Oreochromis niloticus: one gene and its partner. The protein of the gene in region 1 binds, or shares a complex with, the protein of each later gene. Links are inferred from orthologs where the notes say so. Each region holds a gene or a part of one and is shown on either strand. Other genes may lie near its edges.

Evidence for each region.
Region 2: the proteins of dickkopf-related protein 1 (region 1) and kremen1 are in contact, whole or in part, in a crystal structure (PDB 5FWW), measured with the Homo sapiens proteins. The link is inferred for Oreochromis niloticus from reciprocal best matches to the Homo sapiens genes DKK1 and KREMEN1. Residues at the interface, in NP_036374.1 of Homo sapiens: Cys189, Leu190, Arg191, Ser192, Ser193, Cys201, Arg203, Trp206, Ser207, Lys208, Lys222, His223, Arg224, Arg225, Lys226, Gly227, His229, Gly230, Leu231, His261; in XP_011528731.1 of Homo sapiens: Pro67, Asn88, Asp90, Asp92, Ser94, Trp96, Gly105, Val106, Tyr107, Trp108, Tyr110, Asp127, His128, Gly129, Pro132, Thr140, Asn142, Glu164, Ser165, Tyr167, Ala168, Phe170, Asn189, Val191, Phe193, His196, Asp203, Gly204.

Annotation. Positions count from the first base shown.
Region 1 is NC_031978.2:15,067,473-15,071,397, forward strand, and holds dickkopf-related protein 1, read left to right. Parts: upstream 1-1,513; 5' UTR 1,514-1,886; coding exon 1,887-2,102; intron 2,103-2,230; coding exon 2,231-2,375; intron 2,376-2,552; coding exon 2,553-2,687; intron 2,688-2,814; coding exon 2,815-3,080; 3' UTR 3,081-3,672; downstream 3,673-3,925. UniProt on the Homo sapiens protein: Antagonizes canonical Wnt signaling by inhibiting LRP5/6 interaction with Wnt and by forming a ternary complex with the transmembrane protein KREMEN that promotes internalization of LRP5/6.
Region 2 is NC_031977.2:30,683,953-30,687,877, reverse strand, and holds the start of kremen1 (kremen protein 1), read left to right. Parts: upstream 1-939; 5' UTR 940-1,051; intron 1,052-3,925. UniProt on the Homo sapiens protein: Receptor for Dickkopf proteins. Cooperates with DKK1/2 to inhibit Wnt/beta-catenin signaling by promoting the endocytosis of Wnt receptors LRP5 and LRP6.

The DNA of each region.
Region 1 (3,925 bases):
GCGCCTCAGCCTCATGTGAACCGCTTAAAGTTCCCAGATATCTAATAATCACTCCAAGAGTTTAATGTCATCCACTTAGTGGTAAGTGCGGATGATTCAGCTTTTTTGGCCTCCGTGTTGTTCGCACAACAAATCTGTTTGGGGCACAGGGAAATGGCTTCAGCCATAACAACAGGGTGACACTTCTGTGAGATCAAAGGGGATCAAAGTGCATCAAAGGAGCTCACCTTACCAGTACTGACATTCAGTAAAGTGGAGATAAAAGCTCTACTTCAAAAGATATGCAGCAATTCAAATGCGCAAAGTGCTAATGTGTTTGTCAGGTGTCTATGGCGCATCGCTTATTCTTCTACACACGCAGACACGTTCTCACACTCAAACTTCGGATAAAGGCTCCGTGACCAGCAGATGACGTCCAAGTGCTAAGATATCTACAAGGAGAAACTTAAGTTCTTGTTTTTTATCACGCACTTCAGCATCTGAAGGGAGCTCTTCTTGCACAGCGAAAACTGACTGTTCACACACACAGTGCAAAAAGTTTTGAAATCAGTGTCACTAAAGGTTTAAGGTGAATAAATAAATCAGAAGAGCTCACATCTCTCAGGAAAGGGACGAGAGATAACAACTTAAGGACAAACACGGAGACAAGTCTAGTGCGATGTGGGGTTATCAGCAGATTCACGTGGAAAAACAACATTGAGACTTAATTTCAATATTCTCAAATACATTTCTCCTTCTTGAAGTGGTGGAGCCTAAAGGGTCAAAGAGCAGGGTAGATCAGAGTCGCCTTTAATCTCAAAGTGCCAGTCAACCCTGAAAGGCCTCTCCACGGAAGTCCATTAATTCGGCAAAGTTTTCACACCCCTTAATGGTCTGCATATCCTACACATTGATGTCCGCAACTGGTGTAATCAAGCACACGTTGGGGGATAATTGCCCCCTTTGCAATCAGAGGGATCAAATGAAGTAGTTAATCGACTTAAGTAACTTCAATCGCTGTCTTCACACAGCCAAAGGGCAGCCAAAGGATGTCAAAGAAACTGGAATAAGCAAACGGCTTCTACAAAGATGCGCAGGTAAGTTGTCACCAGAAATAGTCCTATCAGAGATATAAATCAAAATCAGTCAACAAATCAAATGTGCTACCACATTTAGAAAAACGTCATTGTTTTTATTTTATAAAGTTATACCTATAATAGTTTGAAAAATATACTACTTGCCTATTTTGATAACTTCACAGTAATTGCGAAAATTAAAATAAGTGATAAATAACATGGAGAAAAAAAAAACTATTCCCGATGTGTGATTTGTGTGTTTAAAATATAAAATTGTCGTTCATAAGAGATCTATCTAAGGGGGAGGGACTCGAGTGATGAATTTGTGAGTAATATTTTTAAAACACATCGAAAAAATATTAAAGAAAACATTATTTGTCATCTGTATTTTTTATGTTTTTATTTATTTATTTATTGTATACTGATTGGATAGAGTAAGTACTGACTGGTGGTTGGGGGGTTGTTTCCCGTGTACGCCACTGTGTGATGGGTATTCAGACAGACTTTGCAGGTCATTATCATCACAAACACTGAAACGTTGTCCTGTGCAGGGAGCAGAGATGGCCATTTCCGTACAGTGGGTCTCTGTTTGAAATTCCACCCCTCCGCCTTTGTAGTGCACAGCGAGGGGCGGGAAGACAAACAGGTCCACATGTATAAAGAGAGATCATCCCAGGACTGCGAGTCAGGAGACTTCCAAACATCGTCCTGAAACTCTCTGGAAACTTTAGGATTCTGGATTCAAGGCCGTTTTGGACTTTGTCACTCTTCTTCTCAAAACAAAAGGGACATTCTTATCGTGTGTTTGCCGGAGAATTTAAGAAAGGAATCATGAAGATGCCTTCAGTCCGCCGCTTCTTGGCTGTGTATCTCACGCTGTTTGGATACCTTGGGGACGTTTACGCGGGCACAGTCCTGACGAACTCCAACGCGATCAAAAACCTGCCCGGCGCTCCGGTTGTTAAAGATACCGATAGTGTCAGTCCGAGTCCTCGAACATCACCTTCTGGTGGCATGGGACACAAATTACCCGCAGACACCTTGCAGGTAATTAACTCAGCCGTGCGTAAAAGTCAAGTCTGTGCACCACAATAGTGATTCGCTTATATACGTTGTCACAGAAATCATAGCAATATACTTCCTGACATAATATTTTTGTTTTTAATCATATATAGAGCTCAGGTGTTTGCACGGATGATGAAGAGTGTGGAGGTGAGGAATTCTGCAACGATGCTCGAGGCGTCTGTCTACCCTGCCGTAAGAACCGAAAGCGTTGCGCAAGGGACTCGATGTGTTGTACAGGAAACCGCTGCAGCAACGGTGAGCTCATTTCAAATCAGTAATGACTTTTGGTTTTCTTTTTGTCATCTTGTAAACTATATTTTTTTATTCAACTTTCTACTTATTATTTATATCTTAATTAACTAAGGGCTTTTTCTGTAGTGTTAATTGCAAACCCTAAATGCAGTTATTTATTTTCGTCTTTTACCTTTTCAGGTGTTTGCCAGGCAAATGACTTAGATGGTGCAGATGTAGCTCTCACCACTGGCTGGCACACACACAACAGTACCACGGAGCATCGAGCCAAGAAGCCTCCCACTGCCCATAGCAACCAGCCTCATGCTGTCAAAGGTAAGTGTGCTGTTAAAAATCATCAGTCTTATCTCTTGGGTTCAAGTAACAGCAGTAGGAAGTTTTCAGGGAGGTCTGTTCCATGTAACATATTTTCACTTTGTTCTCTTCCCCCCCTCATCTCCAGGCCAAGAGGGGGATGCCTGCCTGAGATCTGCAGACTGCTCCAAGGGTCTTTGCTGTGCCAGACACTTCTGGTCTCGCATTTGTAAGCCTGTTCTGACAGAGGGCCAGGTGTGTACGCGCCACCGCAGGAAAGGCAACCATGGCTTGGAGCTGTTCCAGCGTTGTGACTGCGGCGAAGGGCTGGCCTGCCGACCAGAGAAAGGAGAGCGAGATCACACTGTCAGCAGGACTGCAGCCCGGAACCTACACACCTGTCAGAGACGCTGACATGAACGAGTGGACGCACACAGAAACAGAAACCTGCACACTCACACGCCCAGCAAAACCCACAAATCAGTCACAGACACTGACAAACACTTGCATACACAAGAGATGCTGACACACACGCGCACACACATGCACACAGACACCTAAGACATTCTTTCCTGCCAAAGTTGCTGACACAAACACATCAGCCGGAAGGATAGACATGATTCCTGGAAAAGTGATACACCCAGAGGGATACAAGAGTGCAAGACGGACTGATTCAATTCCCTTTCAGCAGATGAGGAGTCGGAAGTTAGGAAGTGACATTTCAGAAGTATTAGGAAGATCAATGCATGTCGTTGGTAATGGCAGAGCTGTTTTGTTTCTCTTTTTATGGAACTTCATGCCACGGTTATTGCAGTAAATTACTGTATTGTACATATTTCCCTGGATGTGGCACTTAAATGAGCTATTACATTCTGTCAACACCAGTATTATAAAGACATGGTGCTGCATGCATTGTAAATGTGTTATATATAATGTTTTATAAGAAATGTTATCTATTGAAAATTTGAATATATTTGTTTTATTAAATGTCACGTGATAATCTTAATGCAGTCTTTCTATTCATCATTTTTTAAAATTTGAATCTACTGCAACAAAAAAAGGGGGGGGGGCTTTACGTAGGATTTGTAGAGGTTTCTTGCAAAAGTTAAAAACTAAATGATTTAGTCTTCATATAGTAGCTGGTACACAGAAAAATAACAACTGTCCCCTTCTGAAAAGCAAAAGTTGTTTGAAGGATGTCTGTGGTGCTTAACCTGGCCCAGAATCACTAAACACAGTTGTTACACAGACCCAAAAAG
Region 2 (3,925 bases), on another chromosome or scaffold:
GACTATAGATTTATGATAGCACCTGTCTGTTAGCACAGATCAAAATGTTTCAAAGTAAACTGTTCCAGCAGGCATGGGAATTCCCATCAAATCCAGCTCCAGAATCCCCCAGATCATCAAGAACTTTGTTCTTGCCATTAGAGATAAAGCTTTGCAATCCTCGCCAACCATTACACTTAATGATCTGCTTAAGTAGCCACGTTACGCCAAACCCAATTCCAAGAAGAAAGACAACTTCAAAAGGCACATATTCCTCCATGCTTGGTTTGTTTTTTCCTCCTTTTTTCTCGTTATCATGCGCTGTGGAACTTGTACGATACATAGATATGATAAAGAAAGAATTAAATGTCTGTTTTGTGCATGTGCATTTTTCCCCCTAAGGATTTTTGTGTGTGTCTCTGAGTGGGTGTGCACGTAGTCTGAAACCGTGTGAGTCGTAGTACAGAGACACCACACATGCACTGGAGATATCTTTCGAATGAAACCATGCCAGTAGAGACGCAGGCAAGCCTGGGCTGGTATCTTTTCTTTCTTTTTTTTTTTACATTTACTGACATTAATCAAAAACATCTAAATATTCAATGCTTCAAGCACAAGTGCTTTTTCACTATCATTTAACCTGGTGCAACCAGCTTGACCGACTTCTATTGAGTCTACTGAGTGCATGAAATGATTCATTCACAATTGTTTATGCTCACTTTCAAGACACTGTCGCACTCTGTTTTGTATCTGTTTAGCCCACATTCAGAGGCCCTGGAGGCAGATATTGTTTACTGTCTAGGCGCACTTGCTTGTGATGTCTCTGGATGTTGTGCTCTGTTTGTGTCTGGATATACCTGCTTATGGATGTGCGATAAATATCACCGGGGCTTTGAAGGTCCTTTATTTTTCTCTCTGTCTCATTATGAATTCTTACTGCTGTGATTCACTATGCTCTCTCTTCCTCAGTGCGTCCAAACTCACAAGGTCAAAGATCTCATAAGTATTCATGTCCCTGTCCTCTCTCAGGCTGTCACTAATTGAGAAAACACAGCAGCCACAGCATTATCAGGTTAGCTTCTTGTTATTCATATTTATATACAGGAAGATGACTTTCTCTTTTGTTTTGGTCCTGATATTCAGACACGCTTCTGAACTGCTGGAAAACAATTTTGATGCAGAAATACATTGTCATCAGCATGCTGCACTACTCTAATCTATGTCTATAAACCTTAAGAATTCAGTACTCGCATTTTTTTATTCACACATAACTTTGAGGATTGAAAGAGAATTAATTAAAAACTTTAAACTGCAAAGCTGAAAGAATTGTTTAATTATTTTTTTAATCAGTTAATTGTTTCCTTTAGGCAAAAAATGGCAGACTTTGCCTAGTTCCCCAGTTTATCAAATACATTCTTTGTCTCATCAGAACACTATTAAATTTTTTTTTACTATATTCTCATGAAATAATTACTTTTTTTAAATTTTATTTATTACTTTTTCACAGAAAAGAATAACAAAACACTTATTGCCTATTTTGAACAGAATATTTATCAATGCAATGTCTTAATTTTCTGTGGGTTTTTTTTTTTTGCATTATACACCATATATTCATATATTGCCCTAGATAAAGGTATTCTATATCAAGCTTACCAAACACTCCACATTTTATGTGGCAAATTGTACACTCGCCAGAGGCTTTGTTAGTTACACCTTTCTAGGTGTCGAACCCTCTTTTGGCTTTTGAACCCATAATAGTATCACAGGGTTCCTGCAGATTTGTTGGCTACACATCCAACATACAAATTTCACATTCAACCACATCCTAAAGGTGCTCTGTTGAGACCTGGTTACCACTGAGGCCATTTGAGCAGCGATCACTTGAGCTTCGTAACATGTCTCAGTAACCTGCAGTCTTGGGCAGATGAGTAGAGTGTGGACATAAATGGATGGATATGGTCAGCAACAATAGTCAGGTAGTCTGTGGCATTTAAATGATGCTCAGTTGGCACTGAGTGGCTCAAAGTGTGCCAAGAAAATATCCCCCACACAGTTACACCGCCACCACCGCTGATACAACAAACATTGGATCAATAATTTCATGATGGCTGCACCAAATTTTTCACCCTTCCATTTTTTCATGTTGGAGCCAAAATCGAGACTCATCAAACCAGACGATGTTTTCCCGATCTTCTGTTGTCCAGTTTTGGTAAGTCCATGTGATTTGTAATCTAAGTTTCCTGTTCTCAGCTGATAGAAGTGCCACTCGGTGTGGTCTTCTGTTGCTGCAGCTGATCTACTTCAGTGCTCTGATGGGTTGTGCATTCCAAGATGCTTTTCTGCATACTTTGGTTGTAATGAGTAATTATTTGAGTTACTGTTGCCATCCTGTCAGCTCCAAACAGTGTGAGCATCCCTACCTCTGACATTAAGAAGGTAGAAAGCTACCACTTACTAGATATGTTCTCCTACTTTGACCTCCGTAAATCCTAGAGACAGTTCTGCTGCAAATTTCTAACAGATCAACAGTTTCTGAAAAAACTGTTGATCTGTTAGTTAAACAGATAAACAGTTTTTTCAGAAAATGTTGATGTCAGACAACAACTGATGTCAGTTGTTGTCTGACATCAACAACTATGTATGTTCACAACTACTGAAATCACCTTACTTCCCCATTCTGATGCTGGGTGTAAATGTCTACAAGCCTAAATGCACTAAGTTGCTACTGTGTGACTGCCTGATTACATATGGGTGTTAAAGAGCAGTTGAGTACGTGTACCTAACAAAGTGGCCGGTGAGCCTACGTGTCTCTCTACATAGAATCTGAAGAGAAATTCATTTAAAATGAGCTTTTAAGGAAATGTTTGATATTTTGGGAAATGGGTTTATTTTATTTTTTCCCCCTTGCGATTTAAATTAAAGAGAATTGATTCCACATTTTTTTTCCAGTAAATATGTTGCTGGAGCCAGCAGCTGGCTAACTTAGCGCATAGATTGAAGCCAGAAAGGAAACACAGTAAAAAAAAAAACAAACGATTAATATGAAAAACCACTGTATTCCGGAGTTTACTGGATGTACTTTATGATCATTTCTTAGAGCTTCAAGCAGCAGGACCTCCAAATCTATTAGTCCTGACTACAACTCAGTTTCACTTTGCAAGCAAGGATTTGACATGCTTTGTGAGCTGACTGTTCATGGATTGCATGTAAGAAAGTCGTTTCGTTTCATTTTGTGACTACGATGTAATGGGAGACCAACCAAACAACAGCACAACATGGCATATTAACAGTGACCATGCCGGGGTCGGGTTGGCCTTGTTTATATGCTGAAGCCATAAACCTGTAAACATACATTTGTCTTTGCACTCTGAAACCTGTAACGGGGCTCATGAGTTTTGTCATTGTAGTTATGTGACTCTACAGACCTTTGTTTTTGTTTTCCCATGGCCATAAAGTGTTTAGTTGCGGAGATTAAATGTGACGTCAAAACCCTTGCCATCATCCTTTTGTGCAGCTTGTGTAAACACTGTAGCCATACCATGTTTTGGAACCTCAAAGTGTGTTTCTCAGAAGTTTACATTATGCATATGGTGGACTATGTTGCCTTGTTTGCATACCCTGCTTAGGTGACATGAAAAACCTATCCATCACAGCATGTTTACAATTGTCCCTCAATATATGCCACAAAGGTAAACCGCTGGAACTGTTTGTGCTCAAAATGAGGATTTGAATTAATGCTGATTCAGTCCTGGTGACCACTTTTTGAAATCCTTTGAAGAATCTTCCATAAGTCTACAAAGAAACCAGAATTAAAGGGGGATCTTGGATAATTCAATTTTTTCTGTTTCATCATAACAAAATTTCTACTATTTCTTTGTAGACTTTTAGGTTTCACATGAACAGTCCCAATGATAAAATGTGTTTTGTTGTTTAGAAGCTAAATTTG